Nothobranchius furzeri: one gene and its partners. The protein of the gene in region 3 purifies or fractionates together with the protein of the main gene of each other region. This does not show direct contact. Links are inferred from orthologs where the notes say so. Each region holds a gene or a part of one and is shown on either strand. Other genes may lie near its edges. The genes, in order: smad3a, skila, trim33 and ssrp1a.

Evidence for each region.
Region 1: the proteins of trim33 (region 3) and smad3a purify together in Homo sapiens (affinity purification with western blotting; 7 studies listed by BioGRID and IntAct, with this or other methods). This does not show direct contact. The link is inferred for Nothobranchius furzeri from reciprocal best matches to the Homo sapiens genes TRIM33 and SMAD3.
Region 2: the proteins of trim33 (region 3) and skila purify together in Homo sapiens (affinity purification with western blotting; 4 studies listed by BioGRID and IntAct, with this or other methods). This does not show direct contact. The link is inferred for Nothobranchius furzeri from reciprocal best matches to the Homo sapiens genes TRIM33 and SKIL.
Region 4: the proteins of trim33 (region 3) and ssrp1a purify together in Homo sapiens (affinity purification with mass spectrometry; 3 studies listed by BioGRID and IntAct, with this or other methods). This does not show direct contact. The link is inferred for Nothobranchius furzeri from reciprocal best matches to the Homo sapiens genes TRIM33 and SSRP1.

Annotation. Positions count from the first base shown.
Region 1 is NC_091749.1:43,499,621-43,507,723, forward strand, and holds the start of smad3a (mothers against decapentaplegic homolog 3a), read left to right. Parts: upstream 1-3,858; 5' UTR 3,859-4,084; coding exon 4,085-4,287; intron 4,288-8,103. UniProt on the Homo sapiens protein: Receptor-regulated SMAD (R-SMAD) that is an intracellular signal transducer and transcriptional modulator activated by TGF-beta (transforming growth factor) and activin type 1 receptor kinases.
Region 2 is NC_091751.1:45,625,723-45,633,672, reverse strand, and holds the start of skila (ski-like protein), read right to left. Parts: upstream 4,136-7,950; 5' UTR 3,999-4,135; intron 2,152-3,998; 5' UTR 2,014-2,151; coding exon 895-2,013; intron 1-894. UniProt on the Homo sapiens protein: May have regulatory role in cell division or differentiation in response to extracellular signals.
Region 3 is NC_091755.1:51,913,824-51,921,335, forward strand, and holds part of trim33 (E3 ubiquitin-protein ligase TRIM33), read right to left. Parts: intron 7,397-7,512; coding exon 7,243-7,396; intron 6,916-7,242; coding exon 6,515-6,915; intron 6,408-6,514; coding exon 6,296-6,407; intron 6,217-6,295; coding exon 6,142-6,216; intron 3,379-6,141; coding exon 3,226-3,378; intron 1-3,225. UniProt on the Homo sapiens protein: Acts as an E3 ubiquitin-protein ligase. Promotes SMAD4 ubiquitination, nuclear exclusion and degradation via the ubiquitin proteasome pathway. According to PubMed:16751102, does not promote a decrease in the level of endogenous SMAD4.
Region 4 is NC_091741.1:91,659,754-91,667,265, reverse strand, and holds part of ssrp1a (FACT complex subunit SSRP1a), read right to left. Parts: intron 7,385-7,512; coding exon 7,199-7,384; intron 5,142-7,198; coding exon 5,036-5,141; intron 4,922-5,035; coding exon 4,728-4,921; intron 4,646-4,727; coding exon 4,545-4,645; intron 4,386-4,544; coding exon 4,256-4,385; intron 4,170-4,255; coding exon 4,066-4,169; intron 3,892-4,065; coding exon 3,763-3,891; intron 3,691-3,762; coding exon 3,469-3,690; intron 3,358-3,468; coding exon 3,285-3,357; intron 736-3,284; coding exon 600-735; intron 522-599; coding exon 476-521; intron 395-475; coding exon 262-394; intron 129-261; coding exon 1-128. UniProt on the Homo sapiens protein: Component of the FACT complex, a general chromatin factor that acts to reorganize nucleosomes. The FACT complex is involved in multiple processes that require DNA as a template such as mRNA elongation, DNA replication and DNA repair.

The DNA of each region.
Region 1 (8,103 bases), on a different chromosome or scaffold from region 3:
GATGACATGCTGATTTACTTCAGAATGTTTAAACTAGAGTTTTTGTGACACCTGAAATTTATCACTTAGTGAGAGAAAACACATGTGAATGTTTGTGCTTCTGCTTATTTATTTTTTTACACATTATTTTGTCATTTAAATTAAATTATTGTCATGTTTAGACTGAAAGCTCATAGCCTCAAGGAATTTTTCGGGAAATAAACTGGATGTTGTCACAGAGCAGGATGTTTTTGATACTTTTCAATCACAAGGCAGATATGAATGGTTATCTGTGGTTGTTTTTATGCAAAATGTTGGAAAATGGAGATACAAGATTTGTGTCGGGTGATGACAAAGTTCCTAATTGTGGTAGAAAATAAACTAAAGGAAAATTAGGAATGTTATGATTAATATCTAGATTTTGCTTTCATTTAAATTCCATTTCACCGCACACATTTTGACTTGCAGGGCTAGAGAAAACACAGGTGTGTTAACGAGGACCACATGAGAAGTTCTGCTCGTTAGCAGCCCTCATTAACACACTTGTGTTTCACTATTGTTGTTGTTTAACCATTAAACCTCATACCAAGCAGCTTTCATGTGGATTCGTAGTCGACTTTTTGTTTTTTTTGGAGGTGTGGTTGACTGAAAAAACAGTTTTCAATTTTTATTTTTGATTATAATCGAACACTCTGTTTCTCATGCAGGCTGAATATGAAAACAGTCTCCTACACCTATCTCCTGCGTTAGCTTCTGATAGAAAATGCTAGGATTTGAAAGTCCTCACATATCTATGTCACACTCTGTGGTCTCGCCCATCTTGGCTCGTGCCCGCCCACAGGAAGGCTTTTTTTTTTTTTGCAGTGAGGAGAGAGAGCCGAAAGTGTCATGGTGATAGTGACTTTGCAAATTTGCAGAAAATGTTTTATTAGCCAATCAGAAGTGAGGTGTGTGCATATCATTAATAATAATGAGTAATCCTGCAGTTTTCAGCCCACCTGTTCACCAGCAATCTTCTGCATCTCAGAACAGGATTATCATAGTTTTTTAATTTTTAATTATTGATTTATTTCCCCGTTTCGTGAGAAAATTTGAACTGTCTTATCATCGAAAATGTTAAAACACATCTATTGTGTATTATAAAGCATGTGTGTTCACATATGTGGACATTAAGTTCTTGCACTATATTTTATTCTTTTCAACTTTTTAAAATTCACTTGACATTGACTTTAAGTTATTTTTCCCTTTCTTTTTTCAGAAGTTAGTCAAATATTAAATTAATTTATTCATTTAGTTTTGTTTTTTTTAATATTGTGTTTTTTCTTGTTGTTCATAGTTATGAGAGTGAACTAATCTGTAATGGCAAGGATTGTTTTTTCTCTTAAATCCCACAAAATACAAATTCGGGTCCTGAGAGGATAATTTTTATTTGGCTTTTAAAAAAGTTAAATTTTTTTTTTCAATGTACATTTCATTCAATTTATTAATTGCTAAAAAATGTTTAATCGTTTCACGGAGTGGAGTTCTGTAAGAGGTATCTCTAAAAATACTTTAACATCAGTTTGAAGATAATTAGGGTAAAAAATTGCAATGGATTATGTGTGATTGGTTCAAAACAAGCATGTTTTGTTTTTGCTGTAAAGCGGTCGTCTGTTTCCTTATCACATCTATCCAGCATGCTGGAGTTTTTATTTCTCTGTGACCTTTATTCTCTATTGGGACAAACACACATGCACACACTCCCACCCACCCACACACACACACACACACACACACAGGACTAAGTCCCCTGAGGTTCAAACTGGCACAATATCATTATCATCCATTGGATTGTGCGTGGTCACTGCTCATTCAGCCTTCCTGACGTGCCTTTTATGCTCAGTAATTCTTCTCACAGCCGCCCCCATCCTCCAGTTCCCTTAAACTCTGCCCCTCTCCCCCTCTTCTGCAGCCCATTTGTGACCCTTCCCCCCACCCTGCACCCCTATATCGCCTTGTCTGGATCTACACTCCTCCAAAACAACCCAGCTGGCCGGTCGTGTCCCTGGGGGTGTAAACAGGTGTCGAGAGGGCCGCTGGGCCTTTGTATATGACACATGGCAGCACGCTCCTCCAGGCTTCTGTTGCAACCTGCCAACACAGCACAGACAGAGAGAGTGGTGTGTATTCAGCTGGAGACTAGATTTATACTGCAGATGAGGGGCTGCTGGGGATTTGTGGTGCAAAATGTCCTACTTTTAAATCTTGTGTGAAATTATTATTTAACTTAGCTTTTTGGTTTTTTTTGGGGGGGGGGGGGGGCACTGAACTTTAATTCTTTAACACGACAAAGCAAAAATAACGTTAAAACAATGAGTTTATTTTTCCTAACTCAGCACATGTAGAGTGAACTTCTTTTGGCTGATATAAAAATAAACACTGGTCAACCAGAATAGATGAAAGGAAAGGCATTTGTCCTGCTGGACCTTAAGTATTTTTAGCACAAACTAAGCTCTGTGTGCTGTGGAGAGGGGCTGCTGGACACAAGTCAGTGCTCCTGTACACGCATACCAAAACCACAAGTCAATGCTACTATTTTAATAAGGCTATGATCTGAAAGCAGAGGCAATTGATCCGCATGCCTGATGATCACAAGTCCCATTTGTGCTCTTGGTACAGACATTATTCCTCTTTTCTGAGTGATAAAAACCCACAGAGGACCACCTTCTTCGTTGAAATGCATTTATGGCTACCCACTATCACTGTCTGAGCTCAGCTCTACTCCACACTCAGTCGTACATCTGGCACTTGACTCTTTGACATTCAGTGCATGAAGGAGGGGGTGTTTATGCATATGAGAGTGTGTGCATGTGCTTGACTATAGCTGTAATTTAAAGGCTGAACCAAGCAATAAACTAAATTGCCACCTTGAGGAGTAGCAGCACTCATCTGAAGGCCTAACAAGCCGAGGCAAGAAAGTGTGCAAACTCATGCATGCGTGCAGCTACTTCTATTACCTTCTGTCTTACAGCAGCTCCAGTGTTATTCAGTCGTGTGAAGGTAGAACAACCCAGAGAGCATTACTGGAAAGTTCTGTGTTAGAGATCTCAAGCCCCAGGTGTTTACACAACAAACACACACTGGACATATTTTACACTACACCTTAACCTTTAGACACTTGAGCATATGACGATTTCTAAAAACATAACATATGAGCAAAAAATGAATGTATTCTCCTGGTAAATCAGAAAAAAATGTTAGTGTTGAGTGGGAAGAAACAAAAATGTGATATTACAGTTTGAACTGTGTTACATAAAGTTAACTGAGATAAAGTCATTTAAATAAACATCAAAGCTTCTTTGTTCCTCTGAAGAAAAAAACATACATTTTTAAGTGCACTAGTGTGGACAAAAAATAAATAAACTGGTTGGTGTTACATAACTGAATCAAGTGCTGCGTATGACCGCTTTTATAGACCGCAGCAGTTTGCTAGCATGAGGAGAGGCAGTGATTGTGCAACATCAGCACGGCCCCTTTGGCCAGCTGCTGTGACAGAGCTGCTACAGGTCTGCAGCAGTCTGAAGCCTGAATAGAGTCTGAGCAGCAACTCCTGCATTTGCATCTGATGCAGACTTCAAGCAGATTTCAGCCGGCGGACTACACACCGCGGAGGGTTCTGAACTTCACAAAACTTTGCGCTTCGAGGATTAGAACAGTCAATAAAACACACCACTAGCGTTACTCCTTTATTTTTTAACGTTTTATTCATAGTTTTAAATCGTATTTTAATTCAGGTTGGAGTTATTTAAATAACATTTGCTTGAGTAGGTGCAGACGGACTAGTTGGTCTTGCGGAGCAGCACTAAATCCACAGCACCAAAGAATACCGGTGCACAATCCGCCGTTTACCTCCTCGAGCCAGGGTAAACGAGTTCGCTAAAACTGAGAAGTTTGGCCCTGGGATGCTCCTGTGTAGCTCTAGATAAAAAACAATAACTTTTTAGCGAAGACTTGCTCTCTTCGTCACTGCGTAGACCGCCACAAAGGTAGTCGTTTTCGTATAACGTCCAGAAGAAAAAAAACCCAGCAGACTTCTCGAGACAGGACGGACTTGACTGAACTCAAGATGTCAATTTTGCCTTTCACTCCCCCCATCGTCAAAAGACTTTTGGGCTGGAAGAAGGGAGAGCAGAACGGCCAGGAGGAGAAGTGGTGCGAAAAGGCGGTGAAAAGTCTAGTGAAGAAGCTGAAGAAGACGGGACAGCTGGATGAACTGGAGAAAGCCATCACCACGCAGAATATCAACACAAAATGCATCACCATACCGAGGTAAGGAGAGCTAGCAGGTTGGTTTGATGCTGACCGTAAAGTTAGCATCTCACGCGCTGTTTTATCCGTTTATTACAGCTTTATAACAAATTATACCAATCTGCCACTGCTTTTACTGTCTATTGCACGTTAAAGGCACCACTTCTTGTGTGAGAAGCAAATATTTCCAGATATTTTCTCGCGTTAATATTTCAAACTCAGTTATTTAGCGTTTATTAAACATCAAAGTTTTAGCTAAGGAAACAGTTCACCAGCTAATCTGTAAATTACGGCTCAAATGTATTATTGTCTGTTATCTATGTGTCATCATATTGCTATTTTGCACTTCAAGTGAATTGAAACAACTCCTAGCAGCTTGGTATGACCCAGATTATGTTGTCAAAAACACGTTTTAAGCATAACGAGCCAATAGCACACATGCAATGTGCACTGGTAGTTATATAACTTGGCCTTAATCTGGAACGTTTTCTAGCGTTGTTAGTGCGTAGGCGAGTCTAGATGGGCTCTCTATCTTCTCTCAATGCCTCTATACAGACATATATCAGCATTTTTATTTAATACAAGTAAATCCACTGCAGGTTACTATGTGTAACAGGTGCTTTCATAGCGTGGGCAGAATTGGAGGCAATGCAACAGCAAACACGAGAAAATATGTAAAAAAAAAACGCAAATAAAGGTGTTTATCATTTGACAAAATATATTAGAGACAAAAATGCTCTCATGGGATGAAAAGTTAACATTTAACACTCTAAATTAATTAATTCAAACGATCTCCTTGGAACAGTAAATAATTCAGCTGTGTTTGGTTTTCAGTGGTCAGATGAATAAATTATGAATAGTGGTTTGGCTTATTGATTTCATTTTTTTTCTCTGCAAGGAGGAGGGAAACATAGCTGTCAGCTGGATTAATAAATGCCATTTTTAGCTCTGACAATTCTAAAGGCTGTATTATTTAACCATCAGTGTGTGCACTTTGGGATGAAACAGTGCTTCACGATTACTGATGGCAACTTTTTCATTAGGTAACAAGTTGGTATTCACTGAACCAAGCAGGAGTAATGTGCAAACGGCCAAGAAGCAAACCGCTAATGAAAAATGCTTAAAAATTTTAAAAGATTTTACCATCTTAAGGTGGCAACGTGTAGTTTCCTGGTGCCAGGGGGCAGTACATACATTTCAGGGTAGTTTTACACCATATTGCTGTGACTGTCGCTAGTTAAAAAAAAAAAACATTACCGTAAATGTTGTTACCTGTGGAACAGAAAGCATGCAACCTTGGCGTGTCTCCTCAAACTTTGATTGTTCTTCAGGTATTTCCATAGAGAGAATGCAATGCAGATGCTAATTTTCTGGTGCTGTACTTTCCAGAGCTGCTCAGGGGTCCTGCGCTTGCCAATGATGTAGTGGTGGGCAGTATAAACTATATAAGGTAGAAACGATATAAAATTGGGTAATGATAGAGTTTTTGGCTCTATCATGGTAACACATGGTGTCAATAAATGTGCACTCTCCCTGACATTGGGACAACAGAATGGCAGTGACTGCAAGTATGGAGAGGGCAGAGGAGGAGGAGCATTCTACTTTTTGGACGTCTTTATTCTGCTGCAATATATTTGCCAAATGTGGATTTTTAAAAGCATGTCATTTTGACATATATTAACAGAGGAAAAAATACATCGCAATAAATATTGTTATTGCACATGCTTCAGATTATATCAGAATATATATTTTAGGCCATATTGCCCAGCCCTACGTCATCATACTACGAAAATACCGTTCAGCCAAATATATATTGCATCTCTTTTTCAATTCTGTTCTCTCACATAGGTTTTGGAAAAAGTTTAGCAGTTTTGTTATTAAATTATTGTTTCTCACTGCCAAGATATTTTTGAATGTGGTAACGTAACTTCTGTAGGTTGTACGCTTAGCCAATCATCTAGTGTGATATCATCGACAGGCACAAGCTTGCGAGCCCTCCAGAAGGAAACTTGGCATCTAATATGGCGTCCTCCAAAGATTTTTGACCTGCACACAATGCAGTTTACACTCAATTTTTATGGTTATATGGTACAATGCTGCCAATATTTTTCAACAACTGGACATCATTTAATTTATTTTCAACATTGTTTTGATGGATATTTACAGAGATTAATGGTATAAACTACACATTGCCTCTTTAAAGTAACTGATAATTGTATTTATTGTTGTTTGTAGCATCCTTTCTTTATATTTGTTAATCTGAGGGAGTTATTAATCTAGTTTTGACTTTTGTTCCAAGCAGTCACTTGATTTATTGCCAGCAAATTGGACACATTATACATTAGTCAAAATGATTATGAACTGTATCTGTAAATCAAAGTATTCTAAACATCAGAATCACTTTTAACTCCTCTGCACGTGTGATCTTGTAACTAATTTATTCTGGCCCCGCATCATCACAAGTTCAGCTTTTTTTTTTTTTTTTTTGTGCTGGCGCTGCTGTAATAAGTGAATTTCCCTACTGTGGGATCCACAAAGTCTATTCTATTCTATTTATTCACAGTGATTCTTCACAACTATTTCATATTGTTAGACCTTCAGTCTATTTTCTTGTGTTTTTTAATTATTGGTAAATAAGAAGCCCAAATCTTTTCTTATGACTTGCATGTGTGTGTCATTCAGATTTAATAGCATACTGTGTCAGATGAAATCTGAATCCCTAACAGGGCACTCCCACATTCTTATTGGCCACAAGTGTACATATAAAGCTACCACAAACCTGTGCCAGCATTCAGAGCTGAGCTCATCCAAAACGTTAAATAATGTCCGCTCTGGTCAAGGTTTAATATTTCCTACCACTAATGCGAGAGTGCATTAAAATGACCCCAGATCAGATCTGGCTGTCAGTGTGGTCCAGCAGTGTCCCTGGAGAGATGCTGTTTCTATTAATTCCCCAAGCTCTGGCTTGCTGACAGCAGCTGCCTGCATGTCCTGGCCTGTCTATGGGGAGGTCATCTCCAATATCTCTGAAGTGAACTTCTTATGAGGCTCAGTGCTGCTGCTTTTGATGCTGGTTTGCAGTGATGCTGAGTGCGGAAGGAAGCTGAGGCCTGGGTATTGATTGGGTCAATAGCTGCGTCAGGTTGTGGGATGGCAGAGCGTATCATGTATCGATATAGAGTACCACAATTAGAAAAGGAGGAAAAAAGACAACTTAAAGGGACGATAACTAGGAGATTTTAGAAAATCTCATAAAGGTTTCTCAAAAGTATAACCTTAGGATAATTTGAATACTTAGATCTAGCTTTGGTATCATTAATTTAAGAAGTACATTTTGTGTGTGTGTGTTGTGACTACTGATGATGCTGGTTTGTTTGTGTTTGGACTGATTTACTCAGAGCCCCCATCCAAAAAACTAAATAAATAGACATTTGTCACAGTCCTACATTGCAGTTTGAAGCTGAAACAAAATGTGTCTGTTGTTGACTAACTCTTGGAAAGGGCGGTTTCTGTACTTGCCTTTCAGGTCATTATGGTTTTGACAATGAGCATGTTTGCTTTTTATAGAACATAATAAGAAGAATTGAAAGCTGAGGCTGTATCCCAGTTTCAAGACTTAGTCACTCAACAACAAGCAATTTTGGCGTTGTGGTGTTGACCTAACTGTCCTCAGTTTCTTTCCCTTATGAAATCATTTCCTCTTCCTCTGAGCTGCAAACTTTGGTTGGTAACAAACACTGATTTGTGTAAAGTGTTACTCTACAGGGATCTAGGAGTATCTGATGGTTTTGGGCTGGACATGATGTGTGGTAGCTTGTAGTACTTGAGTGAAAGAAG
Region 2 (7,950 bases), on a different chromosome or scaffold from region 3:
TCATTTTCACATTGAAATATTTTTCTTCTCACTGCAGGAAGAAAAAAAGCTAAAGCATCCACTGTGGGGGACCGTAGCATTTCAAGCTCCAGTTATGAGTGGTTTTATTGCAATGAAGCAATTTCAATTTCAGGTTTGCCCGCAGGTGAACGATGGACTCCTGAAAAATGGCTTTTGCCACATCTAGAAATGCTCTTCCTCCAACGAACCCTTTTTGTTCCAGGTTGATTAACAAAAACGACGTGTGAAAAATGACAAATTCCACAAAAATTTACTCTGTTTTTTAAGCGCTACACAAATGACTAAATAGGTAACTGCTTTTAGAGTCTCTCAGAACCTCCTACTTTAGCCTTTAGCTGAGCGTCATTCCCGCTGACCTCCAGGTGACCTAAGGGAACAAATGATGCACTTCCTCCTCAGCCGTGACAGCTGATCTATAACTGTGTCTGATCTGATGATGCAGATGTCACCACTTGTCCACGGCTTCAGACACACCCAAGGTCAGGGCTATTCAATTCCGGGCCTCAAGGGCCGGTATCCAGCATGTTTTGGTTTTATTGCTGCTTCAACACGCCTGATTTCAATCAGCAGGTGATTAACAGGCGTCTGCAGAGCCTGGTGAGCTGCTGCACAGGTGATTCAACCACTGAACCTAGTGTGCTGGACTAGAAAAACCACTAAAACATGCTGGATACCAGCCCTCGAGGCCTGGAATTGAATAGCCCTGCCCTAGGTCATAAATGATTTATGTAAATGCCAACCATAAGGTAGTCTCCCACCCATCAAAAAGAATGAAAACGGCTTAAAAAAGGCCTACTGAGATTTTTGTGCATAGAAAACATGCAGAAACACAAACAGCTGACACCAAATGTTACCGTTAAAAGGTGAACTTACTTTGTCTAGCGACCTCTTCAGTTGATAATGGAACTTCTCTTTGACCTCGTCCAGGAGCTGCTTGAGTTTGGGTTCCTCGGGCGTCCCCTGGTACTTCCTGGCAAGTTGCAGATAGCATGGCCACTTGGCTGAATCAAAGCCCCAGTGGCAGGTCCTCTTATCGGGTGACTTGTGTGAATGCATGACAAACTTCTGAGGTGAAAAGAGCAGCTGGCACTCGACACACTGGATGCATGGTGCCTCAGGCTGAGAGTAGAAGTGGGGCACGAAGAGACCTTGGCACTTCCCCAGACACTGGTGCTCCACCTGGAAGCTGGCCTCGCTCTCCTTCAGCAGGCCCTGGACCGACAGCTTGCCGCTGGGATCGGCGGGCAAAGCTGCCCCGGGACGCAGGAGAGCATTGCACAGCCGCTGCGCATCAGTCAGCGTAATGAGGCCGCAGGACGGCGCGTTGAACGGTAGAATGCCCAGAACCTTTAGGATGTGCAGCTGCTCTGCGTCGCAGCGAGAGCAGTAAACGTACAGCTCGTCGCACACCGTGTTGATCTGCTGCAGCGAAAAGTCACGGAGCACAGAGTTGAGCACCTGAGGCAGGCACAGCCTTTTCTCCCCACCAACGACAAAGCAGGAGATGGACTCTCCTTCCAGTAGCGAGTGGGTGAGTTCAGTTGAGCTGTCACATGGAACCAGTAGAGGGCCCCCTCCTAACACAGGAGGGGAGGGCAGGGGGGGCATACCAGCAGAATGCTCATGGCCAGTTCGGGCTGAGAAGGCAGCTGGGCCCCCGAGGGAGCTCTGGCTGCTGAGAGTAAACTGGGCCAGTGTGTGTTTGAGGCCAGGACTCAGGTCCAGAGCTTTACCTGAGCCCATGACATGCATTTCAGCCCGGCCCTCCACATCCATGTCAACATCATGGTGCAGATCCTCCATCTGCTCCCTCTTCACTTTAGGAGTTTTGGTGAGGGGATCCAAACCACGCCGCTTCAAATTCATTTCGGCCATCAGTCGCTTCTTGATGGGTGCGTCTTCCATTCGCTCTCTGTACAGACGCTTCATGTTGCCCTTGAAGGAGGTCAAGTCTTTGAAAGGAGTTTTCAAACTGGTCTGGGTGCTGGCCATGTCCAAGCACAGGGTTACAGTCGCTTGTCTCCTGTTCTTCTGACTGTTTCTCGTTTTCCTCTGGCTTCTCACCCCCTGGAGTCTTTTTTTAAATGACGCAAGTCTTCATGATGGTTAGGTTGTCTAGGTTCTGATCTGCTGCCTGAACATGAAAAATGAAGCAATTTAGAAAGCAGAAGAGACAAAAACTTTAAATTCCAGTGTCATCGAAAGGTGTTATGACCAGTGTTTTAGGTTTTATGCCTTCCCTGTTTGGGACTTCAGAGGCTGTTATTATGGTCCAAATAAACCAAATGGCAATTACCATACTTCACACAAACACGAGGCTTTTCTTAGCTCTTGCAATTGAACCCAAGAGGAAATTCAAATTAAGGTTTCAAGCACAAAGTGAGAATTTTAACAAACCGGTTGGCTGGGATTTGAAATTCACCACCCACCCGGTTCTCATTACATTGTTAATGAAAGGCAAATACACAATGGTCAGGGGGGGGGGGGGGGAAACATTTCACTTTGCAAATGTAAAGTGTCCTTCCCAGAGCCACACCATGCCATCCCCCATTCGTCTGTTCACCCATCAACCCCATGAAGAACATGATAAAAGCGTTACCAGCGGTCAACCCTCCCCGCCTCCCCTCTTTGGTCCTCTCACAGCTTGACATGCAGCAGCACTACGGAAAAAGCAGCGTTCACCCCTTTATTTGATATATACATCAGCAACCTGATCATCATTTAAAACGCAGTGTTGACCGTGGCCACTGCTGCACTAAGACACGAGACACGGCAGCTTTAACCCATTTCAACTTGGAGAAATTTGGATTTCCATACGGTGAAATGCTCTAAATGCAATTTTTCGGTCTTGCAAATGAACATAAAAGATGCAGGTGTGTGTTTTTAAGACATAAAAAATAGTATCCCGTTTATTTTTCCCCCAGAAATCAGGTAAAAACGCAGCTGCGGAGAAAATCTTGAATTTGCAGGTTGATGCGTGAGGGCGTTTTAATGGCAAACCCCCACCGTGGGTAGACTCGAATCTACACGGCAAATCACCGACCAATAAGTGAGGATCTTCGGGGGAGCCACCTTCGGCTGGGATCCCGCTGGTACCAGACAGAAAACGAGGCGCGCGACTTTTCCTTAACAGAATAAACCGTGAGTAAAGTCCGTCTTTAATGTCACCCCCCATGTCTGGAACCGTTTTTGCTGCAAGGACACCGCGTATTACGCTGCTCCTGCTCCCCCTCCTCCTCTGCTGGCTCGGCGCAGGTATGCAGACAGCGCTGATAATGACATTCACTGTCTACACTACAGTCTGGTCTGGGAAGGCACCGCGCTTGTCCGTTACGCACATGCCAATTTAGTGAGGGCACGGCGGGGTTTCCGACCGCGATGTGTCCATACCCCCCCCCCCCCCCCCCCCAGCGGTTGGAAAAGCACCATTTAACACTCCGCATTCTGTCTGAGCGTGAAAATGTTTAACTAAATTACCAGGGCAGTCTGCTTTTCTTTCTCTTTTTTCTTATCTGTGATCTTCAGAAAAAGAAGGTGTAAGAATCTGTGCAACGTGAGTGTAAATCAGTGAAACCCCGATGGGTAGCGCACCCCCAGTCTCCTCGGTGTAAACTGCTGTAAACCTCCTCAGAGCACAGACAGGCTAAATTAACCCAGTTCCCACTAAAGCGGACTGACCCGACTCGGTTCCCGTCCAAACCGATGAATATTAGCCCTTATATTTATTAGGGCAGGCTAACCCAACATAGCGACCGATAAGCAGTTTAACCCTGCGGACCGAAAGCGCTAATATTACAGCAGGCTAACCCATGATAGAGAGCGATACGGCAGGCTAAAGCTGATTAGCTTCGCCCCCTCCGTCGGAAGCGACTAAACACAGGATTTCAACCGTTTATGTCAAAATCAGATCCGCTAAAAGAACTCTTATTTACCCGGTTAATAAAAAAAATCCTTCCATCCCACCCAACAGCTAACACTTGCCTGAACAGTGTGTCAGTCGTCCTCACTCGTTCGGAGTCCTCTCAGCACTGGAAAAGCCTGGCGGAGCGTCAACAAGATGCAGCTAGAAGCTCCACACTACAGCCCGCAACGTCACACTGCACACGGGCTGAGAGGCGGAGACGTCACCCGGCTGACGGAAACTATGCGGGGGTGTCTCTCGTCTGTAGGTCTGTCTGTCTGCCTGTCTCGCACAGTCTGGGACGGTTTTTTTCTCCAGCAGCAGGTAGAGCCGAGAGCAGAGCCGGGGAAACAGGGCAACTGGGTCAGAGGGGACTCAACATTGTGGCGCGGGGACTTTTTCCAGGTCGTGAAATGGTTCAAATTTGGTCCTCACTGCAATTCTTTAACACAATTGTTCATCATCATGTAAACAAATTAAAATGTTACAATTTGTAACATACACTTAATATAATTGACTTTTAAAACCCATTTTAAGATTATTTATGACTTATGTACTTTAAGATTTTAAAACATAAATACCATTAGGCAGTTCTTGTTATTTGATGGAAAGTTACGAAGTAAAAGTACTTCATTATGTACAAGTATTTCATTATTGTACTTAATTACAATTTTTCCATGACTGTAATTTTCTCGAGGTCTACTTTTTACTTTGACTCCATTACATTTTGTCCGACAGGCAGCACACTTCCAAACACACAACTCATATTCAAATGTTAGTTGAATACCTTCATTGTTTACTTTTAAGTACATTTTCAAAATACTTTTACTGAAGTCAATATTTTCTTGGACAATTCTACTTTTACCTATGTAATTTTTACTACTTTGTCTGTACTTTTACGTAAGTAAAAAAATCAAGTAGGCCTACTTCCTCTACTACTGTTATTTAGTGAGGTAGCAAGTGCAACATAATAATTTAATATATAATCACTTAATTGTCTTTCATTAAGATAACAATAATTATACAATATATATATCTTGCACCCATGTGTCGTTTTCAATGTCTGGCTCTTACAAAACAAACAAAAAAACTCATTTTATTGAGCATTCACCTTTCAGCACTCATAAAGAAACAGAAAGCAAAAAAGGAATAACCTAAATCAACAACAATAATAATGTTGATGTGCATAATTAAATGGTAACAGATCATTTGGGTTTCAGACCTTCACCTCTTTTTATTTGCACTATTTTCAAAAAGTTATTTACTCATGTTAATACTTTACATATAACATAGCAATACATTTAATAGTAAAAAGTTATATATTAAAAGTATTTAATTATATTTATTGTAACATGGTTACCACTTAAGTTTTCTGTTGCTTGATTATTATTATTTTCCTTGAGCGGTGGATATCTGCAGCATCACCCAAACTGCCAGCTGTTTTATTTATCTTGTTGGCTTCCCCACTGAGTTCACAGAAAAGCAAGAGAATAGAAGAGGACAGACTCAATGACCAAAAGCCCCCCCCCGCGCGCTCCCTTCCCCCAACCATACAGACCTGTCCTCTGCAAACGGTCAAGAGGTCATTCAGGAGGTCTATTGTGCTCTTGGAGATGAAATAAGTTAATAAAATCCAAGTAAGAATGACAGAAAACAGATTATTTTAATTATAGATCAGACATTTCCCCTTTGGTGATGGGGTAAGTAGCTTTAACACAAGTACTTTCTGAGTCTGCTCACAGAAATCACACTAATTCCAAATCTTCTCAATCTTGGGAGGTTATCGTCCTTTGTCGACATGCGCCGCTGTTTTCTCAGCTGGAGTGCACCCTGGCCGGCTGGCTGACCTACAGTCTGATGTTACACGTTGGTGAGAGCAGAGAGGCTTGATAAAGCTTTGATAAACAACACAGTTGGCCGTTTCGCCGCAGCCTCTCTCACTGGCTTCACTGACAGCAAGGTCAGCAGTTGTATTATGAGAGCAGATGTGCATACACCCTGTTCACCCCCCAGAGAACAAGAGGGACATTGATTTTCCTGTAATAACATCACTCTGTGTTCTGCGGGGAGTAAATTAATCTCATATGTGCAATAATGTGACCTGCACTGATTGTTCATCAGAGGTTTAACGCAAAAAGTGGAAGGATGATGAGCACAGAGGTGGGAGAGCTGGGACTTGTGGACAAAGTGTGGCAGACTGGTGCATTGATAAGCCTCTCCATTAGCCCCAGAGTCTGTCTAACTGTTATTGGACTTAGTACTAAGTGGACCCTTGAGGCCGACACCTCTCTAGTCGTTTTCATACATCTCGTCTACAATCAATGGGAGTTATTGAAATGTGTCTTAAGTTGTTCAGTGGATGTATGTGTAATTTGGAGGTAATGATGCTTACAGAAGTGGCAGTCTGAGGCTTCAGGCACACACTACAAAGATTTTCTGCTCTGTGATGTGTGTCAGCAGGATGTTTCTGGTTTTATCTTGCACCCATGTGTCATGTTTTCAATGTCTGGCTCTTACAAAACAAAACAAAAAAACTCCTTTTATTGAGCATTCACCTTTCAGCTCTCATAAAGAAACATAAAGCAAAAAGGAATAACGTAATTTAGGAATCGACACTCCTGAAAAGGTGCTTTATGGTAAATGTCGGAGAGTGTGATGACATCTCAACTCCTACTCTGGTTATTTTTGTTGAATCTGACAAGAAAGCTACGAAGGTAAAATGGCAACACAATCAGTCACCCGCCCATTTTAAGGTGACAGGTGACGAGGAACTACAATGTAGCCACAGCTGCCCTGGGGCACACTGACAGAGGCAAGGCCTGCCATATGCTGGCACTATAGGTCCCTCTGACCACCACCAGCAGGCAAGACGAGTTAGGTGTCTTGCCAAAGGAAACAAAAGCAGCATTCTCTGGTGGGAGCTAGGATCAAACCTGCAATCTTTCAATCACTGGACATCATGCTCTACCCCCTAGGCTACTGCTGCACCTGGAAGCAGTTGAAGAAAAATAATAAGTTAGCTTTTTCTGTTGGTATCATGGTGGAGCATGGAAGTAAAAATAAGAGAGTAATGTCTTTGGAGGTGAAGCAAAGAGCTACACCCGGAGTAGACATTGGCGCGGCCGAAGCTAGTTTGAAGGAGCTAAAGGAGGCTACAAAATCAGGGACTGATGGTGACCTGGCTTTGTTGCTACTGGACTTGTAAGTAATCATGTTCAGTGCAGATGTTTTACATTGTGGTTTATTTTAGTATTTGTGGGCTCATGTTAGCGTTAGCTTGTTTTTTGTGCTGGTGGCATCAGGGTTGTTTATGATGGTTGTTATTCCACTTTCAACTAGCAGGATGAAGGAGCAGGAAACTGCTCATTGTTAATGATCCCCACCCCACCCCTTCCCAAGAAATATTTTATGATTATATGACATATTCTGTCATAATATAACCATTCCACAAAAAAGGATTAAATATGTATTTTACTTTAAATTCCAGTGTAAAAAAACAATGTCAAATGGATCTTTACTCAAACTAAAGACTGAGCTCTACAACCTCTGGTCACTTTGCTTCCTTTGAACTGCAGCTGATTAAAGTCGGGCGTAAGGACCCGTTCTACTGTGCTGTGGTCTATCGTCCACCTGGTCCAAACAGTTCTTTCCTTCAGGAGTTTAGTGACTTTCTATCCTCCACTGTGAAGCTGTCCAGACTGGTGATTGTTGGTGACTTTAAAATCCATGTTGATGATCCCTCTGATCACTTTGCCATGAATTTCTCCAGCCTTATGGACTCCTTCAGCTTTACCCAGCATGTTTCTGGCCCCACACACACCAGGGGGCACACTCTAGACCTTGCTTTTACCCTGAGTCTAAATGCTGACAGTGTTTGTCCTGAGGACGTTTATATTTCAAATCACCATTGCATTTTCTTTAACTTGTCAGTTTCTGCGTCCCCACCTCCTGCTCGCCGTATGGTTAGTTCTCGTTTTCTTAATGAGAGCACAGCTAGCAATTTTTCTGCTGCTTTTGATCCACCCCGT
Region 3 (7,512 bases):
GCTGAGGTAGTCAAACAACTACACAGCGGCGGAGCCCCGGGGGCGGATGAGGTTTGTCCTGGGTATCTCAAGGCTATGGATGTTGTAGGGCTGTCATGGTTGACACGTCTCTACAACATTGCGTGGTCATCGGGGGCAGTTCCTAGGGAGTGGCAGACCGGGGTGGTGGTCCCCATCTTTAAGAAGGGTGACCTGAGGGTGTGTTCCAACTATAAGGGGATCACACTCCTCAGCCTCCCTGGAAAGGTCTACGCCAAGGTACTGGAGAGGAGGGTCCGATCGATAGTTGAATCACAGATAGAGGAGGAGCAATGTGGTTTTCGTCCTGGCCGTGGAACTGTGGACCAGCTCTATACCCTTGCAAGGGTGATGGAGGGGGCATGGGAGTTTGCCCAACCAATCCACATGTGCTTTGTGGATTTGGAGAAGGCTTATGACCGTGTCCCCAGGGGCACCCTGTGGGGGACGCTCCAGGAGTATGGGGTGGGTGGCTTTCTGTTAAGGGCCATTCAGTCCCTTTACCAGAGGAGCGTGAGTTTGGTCCGCATAGCCGGTAGTAAGTCGGACCTGTTCCCAGTGAGGGTTGGACTCCGCCAGGGCTGCCCTTTGTCACCGGTTCTGTTCATCACTTTTATGGACAGAATTTCTAGACGCAGCCGTGGTGTGGAGTGTGTCGAGTTTGGTGGCAGGAGAATCTCGTCTCTGCTTTTTGCGGATGATGTGGTCCTCCTAGCTTCATCCAGCTCTGACCTTCAGCTCTTGCTGGGTAGGTTCGCGGCCGAATGTGAAGCGGCTGGGATGAGGATCAGCACCTCCAAATCTGAGACCATGGTTCTCGACCGGAAAAGGGTGGCTTGCCACCTCCGGGCCGGGGGAGAGGTCCTACCTCAAGTGGAGGAGTTTAAGTATCTCGGGGTCTTGTTCACGAGTGAGGGTAGGAGGGATCGGGAGATCGACAGGCGGATTGGTTCGGCGTCTGCAGTGATGCGGACGCTGAGCCGATCTGTCGTGGGGAAGAGGGAGCTGAGCCAGAAAGCCAGGCTCTCGATTTACCGGTCGATCTACGTCCCAATCCTCACCTATGGTCATGAGCTTTGGGTAATGACCGAAAGAACGAGATCGCGGATACAAGCGGCTGAAATGAGTTTCCTCCGTAGGGTGGCCGGGCTCATTCTTAGAGATAGGGTGAGGAGCTCGGACATTCGGGAGGGACTCGGAGTAGAACCGCTGCTCCTCCGGATCGAAAGGAGCCAGTTGAGGTGGTTTGGGCATCTGGTCAGGATGCCTCCTGGACGCCTCCCCGGGGAGGTGTTTCGGGCATGTCCTGCAGGCAGAAGGCCCCCGGGTCGACCCAGGACACGTTGGAGAGGTTACATCTCCAATCTGGTCCGGGAACGCCTTGGGGTCCTGCCGGAGGAGCTGGTGGACAAGGCCGGGGAGAGGACGGCCTGGAGCTCCCTAATTGGTATGCTGCCCCCGCGACCCGGACCCGGATAAGCGGAGGAAGACGAAGACGAAGACTTGTATTGATTTTTCCATTCCTTCATGTGCCGACCAGAAAGGGAGGAGACTTGGGCATCCTATAGGGAGCCTAAGTCACTTCCGCACCATGGGTCCCCCAGAAGAACGAAAAAATGAATGCAAGTCAACAGGGCTAAAAACGCTATTTTCTAATCCGCTTTGCCTTGCGCCCTGGATTGCACATATGTTGTACTGCAATTTAAATGAAAACTATTGATGGGAGTTTCGACCACGCCAGTCACGTACTTTGACATTTATTAGCTTGTAAAAGTTTGTAATTAGCATGACTACAAACTAAAAATCGGCACGGCGCATATGTGACGTCACCACATAATCTCCTCTCCCCAAAGTAGCTGCTACTTACCAAATGACCAGATTTAGGGTGGTTCTTCCCTCCTGTGGGAAGTTTGCTGAACTTACAGCCATTTCCCCTGAGTTTTCTCTGTGTCTAGTTCGATGACGTCACTTTCGTGAAACGTATTTTTAGTTCTGGACTTATTTTCACACAAAACCTAAAATATCGTGTGTGTGTGTCCGTTCAAAAATAAGCACATTGTGAAATCCATGGCACAAAACAAGCAAAATTAGAAAATAGCGCTTTTAGTCCCATTGACGTGCATTCATTTTTTTCGTTCTTCCGGGGGACCCATGATGCGGAAGTGACTTAGGCTCCCTATTGATATTCAGAAATCCCATCTCTGATTGGCTAAAAGCTACACCACGTTACCAGATTCTGTTTGCTCTGCAACATGGATGTTTTACATCCACAAATAACACATGCCTGGAGGAGCTCTGCTGGGTGGTGGAGTTGCTTATGCTAACAGTTAGCCTCTAATAGCTGAGATGTTCTCTGCCATTTCCTGGATGGTAAACTAACAACAGCATTCCCTGTTGCATATCAAGATGGATGAGTCCATGAATGTTAATTTGACAGTGTGACATAGATTTGTCAGGATTTTCTAGTCCGAGTGTTTCCCCATCCATTTCCTTTCAGCAGCTAATGCAGGAGATAGAAGCCGCCTATGTTCACGTTCAGCCTTCATAGTAAATGTGAGTGACTGGCCGCATTTCAAAGAGAACAAGTATTACCCATTTCTCAGTGAACTTGGTCTTTAAAAATTCTCAATATTCGCTTGTGCTATTTACAGGTGGAGATAATGACTGTTACCTCTATTGGTTATGTACCTGAGGCATCGCCTGACTTCTGCATCACCTTTCAGACCTTTACCCAATGAAGCAAGTCCTGCTTCCCTCCTTTTATATTTAAATTCCAAGAATACTGCTTTAATTTTATACCCTCAGTTTTAAGGCACCTTTTCTATTTTCTTTTACTGACAAAAATAATTTGTTTTTTTAAATATGTGCAAGAATTGCTTTAAAAATAAATTTAAATTGTACAATAATTTAATAATTTTCTCATCATGATTGAGTGAGTGAGGATTTTACTTACTTACTTTAGTCTAGTAAGTTAGTGCTACTTAGTAAGAAAATAAATGCAACAGCAAACAACCAGAAACAGCTTTAAGGAATGTGTTTCAAAGCCAGGATGTTTAATTGAACTCCTTCTGTTATGATAATAAAACAGCAGAGCTAACACCCTTCAGAGCAGAATCCATTGTCTCATTTCTATCAGTTTCTCTTTGGTCAGCATGCACAGCAAGAGGACACCATTCCCCTAACGGGCTGAAAACACATGCTGCTCACCTCATTGTAAGTTGAACAGTTCTTGAAGACGAGGCGCATATCTTGCACAAACTCTTGTATGGACTTGTAATACTGAGAGCTCCGCAGCTGCAGCTTCCTCTTCACCCTTTTCAGATCCATGGGCTGCTTAATAATCTTGTAGTAGTTGGGCACCTGGATTGAAAAAGAAAAAACAGCTGGGTCAAGTTACACCAATAAATATTTCAGATGGAAATAACAAAAACGTAAATAATAAGGTTTTATTATGTTTAATGAAATGTAACTAGAAATGTTTTTCTTCCAATCAATTTTAAATAAAATGGTAATAAATCAGAAAAATGATATTTAATAAATGCATTATTGAGCTAATAACAATATTGATGATGATAACTGGAATTAAAGCCTAGTAGTTGGTAGATCTGTGAACAGCCAGTTAAACTTGTCCTTGAAAGCATTAAAACACTGACTGAGATTAATCTGTTAGCATTTAGAGTGGCGCCATAGAAGAGAAGCACAGTGAAAAAATCAGGAGACTGTTTCATTTATCTGATTATTTATTATATTCGCTCTCATTACTGTATATACGGTACACCCAATAGGGCTCTGAGATCCCTTGGAAACAATCAGCTGATAGAACCACGGATCAGAACAAAACAAGGCGGAGATGCATTTAGTTACTATGCTGCTATCATATGGAATCAGCTTCCCCTTGACCTCAGATCTGCCCCAACTCTAGTGTTGTTTCAATTAAAACTAAATACCCTAATGTACCCATCAGCCTTTAAATGAATTGTTTCTTATGCTGCGTCATCTCCACTGTAATCTGCGCTGTAACTTTGTCTTCTCCTTTAGCTCTAAACTGTAATTCTATCTGTGTCTATTTTAATTTGTGTTTTTATGTTTTCATATCATGTTCCGTACGGCTTTGAGGACATTCTGGTCCACCATCCGGCACCTCGGGGGGGGGGGGGGGGGGGGGGGGGGGGCAGTGCGCTACCAACACTTTCTGCAGTGGGGACGGTGTACTGCTGACCTCTACTCAGGACGTCGTGGATCGGTGGGCAGAATACTTCGAAGACCTCCTCAATCCCACCGACACGTCTTCCAGTGAGGAAGCAGAGTCTGGGGACTTTGGGTTGGCCTCTCAAATCTCTGGTGCTGAGGTCACTGAGGTGGTTAAAAAGCTCCTCTGTGGCAAGGCTCCAGGGGTGGATGAGATCCGCCCGGAGTTGCTTAAGGCTCTGGATGTTGTGGGGCTGTGTTGACCGACGTGGCTCTGCAATATCGCGCGGACATCGGGGGCAGTCCCACTGGACTGGCAGACCGGGGTGGTGGTCCCCTTGTTTAAAAAGGGGGACCACAGGGTGTGTTCCAACTACAGGGGGATCACACTCCTGAGCCTTCCTGGTAAGGTCAATTCAGGGGTTCTGGAGAGGAGGGTCTGTAGATTGTTGAACCTCAGATTCAGGAGGAGCAATGTGGTTTTCGTCCTGGCCGTGGAACACTGGACCAGCTCTATACCCTGAGGGGGATCCTGGAGGGTGCGTGGGAATTTGGCCAACCAGTCTACATGTGTTCTGTGGATTTGGAGAAGGCGTTTGACCGCGTCCCTTGGGGGGCCCTGTGGGGGGTACTCCGGGAGTATGGGGTACCAGGCCCTTTGATACGGGCTGTTAGGTCCCTGTATGACCGGTGTCAGAGCTTGGTCAGTATTGCCAGCAGTAAGTCGGGCTCGTTCCCAGTGAGAGTTGGACTCCGCCAAGGCTGCCCTTTGTCACCGATTCTGTTCATAACCTTTATGGACAAGATTTCTAGGTGCAGCCAAGGTGTGGAGGGCATCCGTTTTGGTGGCCTGAGGATCAGGTCTCTGCTTTTTGCAGATGATGTGGTCCTCTTGGCTTCATCAGAACGTGATCTTCAGCTTTCGCTGGAGCAGTTCGCAGCCGAGTGTGAAGCAGCTGGGATGAGAATCAGCTCCTCTAAATCTGAGACCATGGTCTTGATTTGGAAAAGGGTAGAATGCCTTCTCCGGGTCAGGGATGAGCTCCTGCCCCAAGTGGAGGAGTTTAAGTATCTCGGGGTTTTGTTCACAAGTGAGGGAAAACTGGAGCGTGAGATCGATAGGCGGATTGGTGCTGCATCTGCAGTGATGCGGGCGTTGTACCGGTCTGTCGTGGTTGACCGAAAGAACGAGATCGCGGATACAAGCGGCCAAAATGAGTTTTCTCCGAAGAGTGGCTGGGCTCTCCCTTAGAGATAGGGTGACAAACTCTGTCATTCGGGAGGGGCTCGGAGTAGAGCCGCTGCTCCTCCACATCGAGAGGAGCCAGTTGAGGTGGCTCAGGCATCTGGTCAGGATGCCTCCTAGACGCCTCCCTGGTGAGGTTTTCCGGGCACGTCCAACCGGGAGGAGACCTAAAGGTAGATCCAGGACATGGTGGAGGGACTATGTCTCTCACCTGGCCAGGGAACACCTTGGGATTCCCCCGGAGGAGCTGGCCCAAGTGGCTGGGGAGAGGGAAGTCTGGGCCTCTCGTCTTAGGCTACTGCCCCCGCAACCTGACTCCAGATAAGCTCCAGACAAACTAATGAATGAATGAACGAACGGACGGACGGTCCTGCTAATTATAAAGCACATTTAATTGCCTCTGTGTTTGAAATGTGCTCTATAAATGAAGCCGCCTTGCCTTGCCTTCTATGATCGTCATTTAGACTGTGCTGTTCCATCTCCTGCATGAGACGATGCTTATCTTATAAGTTTCTTATCTCTTTTTGGACTCAAACCAAGTTAATGCTCCTTATGTGTCATCATGTATAATGTGGACCAATTAGAAAAAAAGATTCATATTTCTGGGATTATACAAGTGAAGTAAAATGCTTAATTTAGGAGCCATGATGTAGTGTACCAGACTGAATGGTGCGTGTGTGAGCACTCACAGAACTAGGGACCGGTTCCCTAAAGCCCACACTCAGCTCATGACAGAAAACATACAGCAGGACCCGTTCACATTTCTGTAGGCAGAGGAAGAGAGAATTAGCTCAGTAAACTCATCACAAAGACGTTCTCTGAGGAAGGTTTAGGTGTGCAGACCCTTTGGTCTTCAGCAGTCAGGCTCTGATCCTCTTTGAGTCTCCTGCTTTCATCACAATACTCGATTTCTGGGTTGGCTATACTTCGGCAAAACGTGCAGAGGAAGTCGCCCCTGAGACAAGCAAGCACCACACAAAGCTTCAGAATGGTTTATATTTTAGCGATCCTCAAATGATTTCTCATTCTAAAAAAATGAAGTGGTTTTTATTGGTCACTTACTTTGGAAAGATTTTTATGGTGGGTACGTGGCATTTCATATGGAACACTTTAGGACAGCGGTCACAGCACAGCAGGTTACCACCGTTGATACAGACAGCACACCAGTCCTCGTTGGGATCGTCTTCTTTCCCACCAGAACCCCCGGCTGCTTCTGATGCTCTGCTGCTGCTCTTGTCTACGTTTCCATTTGTGAGCGGTAGTTCTGACTGACTGTAACTGTTCTTGGTGGCTGACGTGTTGGTGGAGGTTGTAGAGGTGGATGGTGTCATGGTACTGGCTCCATTTAGTCCAGAACAAGGCGTGTCTGGCTCAGGTTCTGTCTTAATGCGTTCCCCAGGAACCCTCAGAGTGTCGTGGCCTGCAGATGCAGCTCCCAGGGGGCTGTTCTCTGGACTGCTCATCTGAGGGGGAAACAAACAATCCCTATGAAACATGTTATGCCGTGAGAGTGGGGTAAGGGTTGGGGTTGATGATGTAGCCGTGGCGCTAGAATTTCAGGCGCAGCACAATGCCTGAGCCTATGTAGGGGAAAAACTGCATGTTTGTTGTTTTACAAGGTTAACACCAATGTTTTCCTCTTGATCCTTTTAAAATTACGTGATCGGGCCTTATTTCTGATCTTGTGATCAAATCGGAGCATCCCTACATTTTACATTACAGATATCAATGCTTAAACCTGAATTTTGTTCATTCTTTTATTCCCAAAGATGAACGTTTTGTTTTCATACCATACAGGCACTCCTTCTAGCATCCGCTCCCCGTTCAGTCTTCAGAGAAGACGAGGGACAGCTGTAGCTGTCCTCTGTACCAGGTTCCTTCTTCACTTTAACCTGCTCTGCAGAGGCTCCACTTCCAGCTCCCCCTCTGCCTGCAGAGCTACAGCTGGAAAGAAAATGAAGCACAAAACATGGGCAAATTATTGTTGCAACTGCTGAAACTGATTAATGACACAAACCATTTTTAAAACTGGAGTCTATAGAATCACCAAGGGTCTTTGC
Region 4 (7,512 bases), on a different chromosome or scaffold from region 3:
GCTTTCTTCGATATCTCGGTGATGGAGATGCCGGGGTTCTCCGCCTTGATTCGCTCTCGGCTGGAGTTGAGCCAAAGCATGTAGGCGCTCATCGGCCTCTTCGGCCCACCGGTGTCCTTCTGCTTCTTCTGTTTGAATTTAGGATATAAGAGTCAGCAGTCATGTCGAGTTCGATGGGTTAATGTACGGCACAGCCGGTTTATGTTAGATCGTGAAATCAGGCTTTTGAAGCCTAATGTTCTCCTCCTGCTGGTCTCTCACCTCTTTACGTGGTTTTCTCTCCTTTTTCTCCTTCACAACTTTGGCTTTTTTAGCCTTTTTCTTCTTTGCACCCTCATCTTCACTGTCCCCCCCCTCTTCGCTGCTGTCACTTGCAGAGGCGTTACTATCGTACCTGGAAGAAAGGAGGAACAGACGTTTACAACAACTACAGGTATCATCTCAAGCTTTAAAAATGAAGTTAAACCAAACTTACTCTTCTGCAATTTCATCATCTTCTTCTCCAGGGTTGAAGGACTCATCTAAAGAGAGAAGAAAACCCTCGTTCAACCATTACCATCCTCTCATCGCGAGCGGTTACATTTGAAACAGTCACTAACCGCTTCCACTTCCATCCGACTCGTCGCTGTCATTGCCCTCCTCTCTGATCTTGCCCTCAGCCTTCATCCTCTCCAGATAGGCATCGTGCTGGTCTTCGTCTGAGTCGCTGTACTCGTCGATTTTACCCTTCATGCCCTGGAAAGTACGCAGCACGGTCAGGAAAACACCACAAACACACAACGTCAGAGCTAACACGCTAGCCCAGACTGTGGTTAGATGTTTGAAGGTGTCGCGGCTTCACAAAGCCTGAGTTTTGCTCGTGGGACACCGTCCTCCCTATCCGTCTTGGATCCAGCATCAACCACAGTCAAAGGAAACACAACCAGTAACCAAAACAGGAGGTGTGACGTTTCAGCTCCAGATTGCACCGTTACTAAAACACTACAAGCAAGTTAGCTTTGACCTGTTTCATGTCTAAAATCACTTTGACTACAAACCCTCAAATGTTTTATGGTCCAGGACAATGAAACTAAGCATCACCGTTACCAAAAGGAAGACCTACACTCAAGTTAAATTTGAGTTAGTGAATTTCCCTTTTCCCTGTTTGAACCAGGCAATAGTAAGTTAACACTGGGGATGTTCTGACCAAAACTGGCCAATTTTCATAAAAAACAAACAAAAAACGTGTGCAAATTCCCATCAATGCCTTTATGTCCCATGCTGTGTTGCAGCCTGCGGAGACCCTGTGTGCAGCATCGCGATTCCCTACCCCCTTCTGTCGCACTGTGCATGTGTGCAGCAGCTGAAGTGCAAACACGCGTCTGCCAAACGGAGGGTGATGTAAACGTTGCATTTTGCAATGAAAAAGTATTGCATGAGGGAAGCTCTCTAAAATGCATCAACACAATGGACTTAATATGACTCTTAAAGAATAAACTCTTGCAGGGATGTGAATTTTCAAGGCTCACTGCAGAAATAGAATAAAAACCTGGAGCAGCTAACGGAGTCAGACGCAGCGGCACACACTATCACTCGTCTGTACGAGTGCGACAGTCGGCAGGCTGAGCATCGAACTTGAAAAATAAAGCCATCATAGATGAGCAGCCTGTCTCTGTGGTGGATGACACCAGGTCCAGCCCACTAGGACCCGCTACAGGTATTAAATAAATAAATACACATAATAATAATAATAATAATAATAAATCAAATAAAATCTCACAACACACAAAGATGTGAGATTTATCTTTTGCTTTTCGGCACTTTTTACTCAGAGCTTTTAATATTTGAAATCTGTTTTCCTTTTGACTGAATCGTTGCTGCTTCTTGCAGCACGTTGGTGTAGACTCAGTCATCCTGGATGTGATCAAGAGTTTTCTGGTTTTCTTGAAGTTTTGCCTCATGCTAGAGGCTCCATCAGTTCTAAACCTTGGGCTGTGCTTAGGAGGCTCAGAAACAAACACACGGATTAAGCTGCTTTTTAGTTTTTTCTCTTGAAAAAAGAACACATTTTTGCTCAATCTTTCCCAGATCATGTAGTCTGTCATAACTACATAGAAAAGTTATGGTCAATCCATGTGATCGGTGTTGGTGATCAACAGCAAAAACCTGCTGGAGCATCTCTACTCAACAGTTTTACCACGTACTACTTGTTTCTAAACACATTTCCTTTATTCAACTCCTCCTTCGCCCACTGCTTCGAGACTTAATCAGCCTTTGACCCAACTGGTCCCAAACAGGAACTGTCAGAAACTGCACTGGTTTTTTAACACTTCAACACGACACCATCCTCCCCACAGAATGAAAAGCTCATAAAGGATTCGACGTCATTTGTTGAAACGTCCTCCTGGAAATCACATTAAAACCCTTTTCCTCCTCCTACGTGCTCACTTCCATCTTCATGCATCAATATCCTCGTCTGCCAAGTAGACAGAAGCGACTGATAGGTGGACCGCCAGTACAGACACCAACAGGAAATGGGCAGCAGCTCCATTTGTCCTCAATGGACTCCTCTGCTGACCCCATCACCATGGCAACAGAAGACTTCTGCGAGTCTTCAGACTCACCACAACCTCGCACACATCAGCAGGACGTTACAGGCGGAGTGATTAGCACAGGAGAAGAAGTTAGGACCACAACACAGTCTGGAGTTAAAGAACAAAAGCCCCCAGGCAGCACGTTAGTCAGCAAAATGCAAACACACACAGTCAGTCATCAGTTACACAGCAGTCAACCCTCAGGTGCCATAATTACACATGAATCCCTTCAGAAAGATCAGGTTCAACACCAAACTGATCAGTAAATCATCAAACCCAAATGATTCTCCACAGATTGATCAGACCATGCAAACAGAATCACTCCAAGCCCACAAGAACCCAGAGCCTAATCCATACGGGACGCTCGAGACCATACCCACCTTCTTCTACAAAGAGTACAAGAACACAAGAGAAGGCACAAAGGATGAGAATGTGGGATGATGTCTGATAAAACTGCTGTCATGTTTTAACCCTCCCACTGTCCTAATGGGTGTGACCCCGCCAGGAAAGTTGACCAATGAGCAGGGTTGATGGTTCATCCCTTGGGTCCATGTGACAGGGGTGAGGAGTGAGCACCACCTCATCCCTGCCACATGGACCTCAAGGGATAAACCATCAATCCTGCTCAATGGTCAGCTTTCCTGGCGGGGTCACCCATGAAGACAGTGGGAGGGTTAAATCTACCAACGTGCCAATCAGGATGAGCGTTACCTCTTTGAACCCTCTGTTCTTGATGTTGAGCTTCTTGGCATTGACAAAGTCAAACAGCTTGCCGTACTCTTCTCTAAAGAAGAAGAAAAGCACATTAGGGTGGTTTGGTTGGTATGGAGATAGGGTTCCACACCAGAAACATGTTCCTCATAAAGGATCTGCTTCCTTTTTAAGACTGCCTCACCTCTCGATGCTGCTGAAGGTGTACTGGTTCCCTTGTTTGGTCTCAATCTCAAAGTCAAAGGAGCGCGTTGTGGTGGTCCCTCGGGCAAAGTTCACGCAAGAGATCTCCTCGAAGCGCAGGTGGACGGGGGGCTTGTGGACGTAGATGAATCCCCGCTCCAGGGGGTAAAGGAGGCCGGAGGAGGCCTTGTAGGAGCAGGTAATGCACTGAGCCCCAGAGTGACTGCGCAGATGGGATTTTGTGAAGATATAATCATTTTTAAAAAGTGTAAAAATGTGTGTTTGAGATGCCTACCCTTGGAAGTTTCCAGGTACAGTAATTTTCCTGTTGACCAAGGCCTTCATCACCCTGCTGACCATCTCATAGAGAGACCCCGACATGTTTTTACTGAGTTTGCCCTCAAAACGGCGCTCCACATCCTCCCTGTTACAAAACAGCAACAGAATGAATGTCTTCACCAGAACACGTTGTCAGGATTAGTGAGAAGTGAAGAAAAGCAGGAAAACTATTCCTTCAGACCTCTGGCTCCCCTCAGTGGACAATACCGTTATCACCCCCCCCCCCCCCCCCCACCCCCACACACACACACTCACTCACTCGCTCATGTTGAGGGTGAGGTTGATGTCCTCCTCTTTGGAGAAGAGCAGAATGAGAAAGTGGTAGCGAGTCTGACCCTGCTTGATGGGAGGATCCAGACTGATCTGTGATGTCACAAAAAAAACAAAGAGATGCTGAGCGAGGAACGTCAGCTGACCTAAAAGCAAAAAACACAAAGATGTAGACTGACCACAAAGAACATCTGCCTCTGATCTTTGTGTGGTAGCAGGAAGAGCCGGAGGACGGTGGTGTAGGGAATCTTGTAGTCAAACGTTTTCCCGTGAAGGTGAAGGAACGTCGGGTAGATGCGAATGTCGTATCTGAAAGAAGTCCAAATACAAATTCAGCTTTTGTCTCTAATAGGCCACAGCCCAGTGAGAAGCACGCTGAAGAGTAGACAAATCCTTTAAACCACCAGGACTTCTAATGATCTGAATCATGAGATTAGATGGTATTGTAGTCCTGGAACAACCTCATACCTTCCTCTGGGTGTGAGACACTGCAGCTCCTTGAAGATGCACACAGCATCACCAGTGGCCTGGATCACGTCAGCCTTGGACAACACATTCTGAGCAAACGCCTGAAGGAAAACAAAAAATGCCACAACGTTAAAAAAAAAGGCAAAACAAAAAATGTCATGAGTAGAAATGTCCCTTTCTCACATCCACAGGGTCCTGTCGTTCGTCGGCTTGGCTGGGCGGGACGTAGAAGCGGACCTCCATGAGGGAAACTTCCGTGTCGTCGTTCTGGTGAAACTCCAACGTGACTTCGTTCTTTCCCGTGGCACACTGGGACACGTTGGACAGAGGAATCTCAAACGCTGCATTGTCATTGATGTCAAATGAAAGCAGAGGTCCTGTGAAGAGCAGAAGAACAAAACTGTGTGAGTCACCGGGTTCTCAGAAATCTCTCCTTGTTTTTAGGACGTGAGTAGATTATTTAAGGATTTCTGTGCTGGATCTTGTTTTACCTGAGAACTTCGCCGTCCCCCAGTTCCAGCCTTTCACACACATGTCCTTCTCCGTCAGCTCCACCTTGTAGTTAGCTTTGAAAAATTCTGAGATCTTTTCAAAGTCCTGGTGGATGAAGGTGGAGGAGCAAAAAGAGGACAGAACTTTTAGGTTGGATTTATAAACAAGTAGTCAGGAGAAGGTAGGGCTCAGAGATAGAGAGGCAGAAAAAAAAAGAGTAAAAGTACAAACGCTGCATGAGTCAAAGCCTAAAAAGAAGCTGTGGCGGTGGAAAATTAATCAGAACACAGTCGTAGGTCAGCTGCTAGGGAGTACAGGAGTTGAATGTAATCCATCCAGCCCCTCCACACAGGCCCTGACAATCAGATCGTTTATTTATCCTGCAGGTCCGCCGCAGCTTACAACTGGAGAGGACTCACAACCAACGACAACCACACACACCCCTACATTCGCAATAGTACAAACACATATGGAACTGATTGTGGCGTGCAAATGCAAGGGCAGAATGAGACTGGAAACTCATGTACGCACCTGGATTTCTGCCATTTCATAAGGTTATTGAAGCCAATATATGAATATATGAGAGAGAGAGAGAGAGAGAGTGTGTGAGAGGGTGAGAGTTTGTTTAATCAGCTTGTTTGTTGACCTGGACTATGGAGTTGTTTAGACAGGATAATGTGTGTGAACGGATGTAAAAACATACCATCAGTTTGTTTTGTGGAGCATGTTTTATACTAACACACACACACACACACACACACACACACACACACACACACACACACACACACACACACACACACACACACACACACACACACACACACACACACACACACACACACACACACACACACACACACAGTGATTTGTCCTACATTTATCAGGAATTAAAAGTTTTCTTTAACTATTTTGCTGCTTCAGCTAAGTTACCATTAATAGTGAAATCATTAGGAAACGTAGTCTATATACTGGAGATTATTTCTAAGTTTTGGATATTTTTGGGTGTTGAAAAATGAAACTTTTGACTCAAATCTAAAAAAAAATAAATGTTGTTTTTCTTTAAAAACAAAAACAAATAGCCTGATTTTACAAGTGTTTTGCTCTTTGAAATGTCCAACAGCTTTTACTGGTTCTGAATTTCCTTAGTCTGATTATTCATCAACACAGCTGTCAAACTGGGAGAACATGAAGGATATCTGAAGCCAAAGCAGTGATGAGGGTAAAACTCCAGCTGTGGTAAGGGAACCCAACCCCACTGAGATACTTCAGACTCACCGTGTAAATATCTATGATCTGGCTACGTTTTAAAAACCATCACTGTTGCTCTGAAGCGACTCAGGACCTTTCCTGTTTGGCACAAAGCTACAGAGCCCCGGCTGATCCAACATCTGGCTGGTTCTGGTGGATCTCACAGATGCACAATCAGTGTAGGAAGGTGGGAGCCTGGAGGCAGGATCCTCACATGTTCCAGAGTTCTGGCTAAATTAGGAAGTTTGATCTCTAACAATGTTAGAAGAGCATTTTCCCACAAACAGAACAGAGAATCTGAAATCCTCTCGCTGGTCTAAGGCTGAGCCTTGAACAAGTAAACACCTCCGGATGCTCTCAAATACTCAGGCAGGGATTCACATCTTCCTCAAGGACAATTTATTAGACCAGATGAATCAAAATGTCAGCCTTCTGCCAGTTCTCCATTACCGTCGCTAACTGGAGGATAATAAACAATGACTTCACAGCCTGGGCTTTGGGACGAGAGGATCCATCTCCCCTCATAAATAAGCTGATTAACCCCCAGAGACACACTCCTCAGGTTAAACACACACCTCCATCCCTGTATCTCACTAGTGTGTTGATTTTTCCTCTGCGCTCAGAGGAAATTTAAAAAAAATGCAATAATACAAATTTCTCTTGGTCTGTTTTGGGAGCCAATTTGTTTTAGTGGGCTGATATAAACACGGGCTCAGAAGAGCCGATGATTGCACTGTTTATAGAACACACACGCTGGCTCCGGTTCCCCTCATTAATCCCATTAGGGCCTTTGAGCAGAACGCCATTCACACACACACACACACACCAGAGAAACCTCAGAGGAAATGTCAGATGGAGCGGGGCTCCTCCTGCTCGTGTTACACTCCCCGTCATACAGCAGCAGAACTCACCGTGTCCCTGAAGCCGTCGTACTTGTAGACGTGACCCGTGCTGGTGCCCAGTTTGATGCCGTGACCCAAACACACCCGTCTCCACTGAGCCAGGTTGAGCTCTCCTGCAGCGATGTTGTCCACCTTCCCTGTCTTGTTGCTCTTATAAACCACGTTCTGTTTGCTGAAACGCAGCCGTCCGTCATTCTGCAGAGACGAGATGAGACATGATGGGTTCATGAGTCCAGAAAAAGCATTTCCAAATGCTTATCTGTAAGCTAGTAATGCCACTGTATAAACGGTATACGGATGATAAATTTAGCCACTGGTAAAGA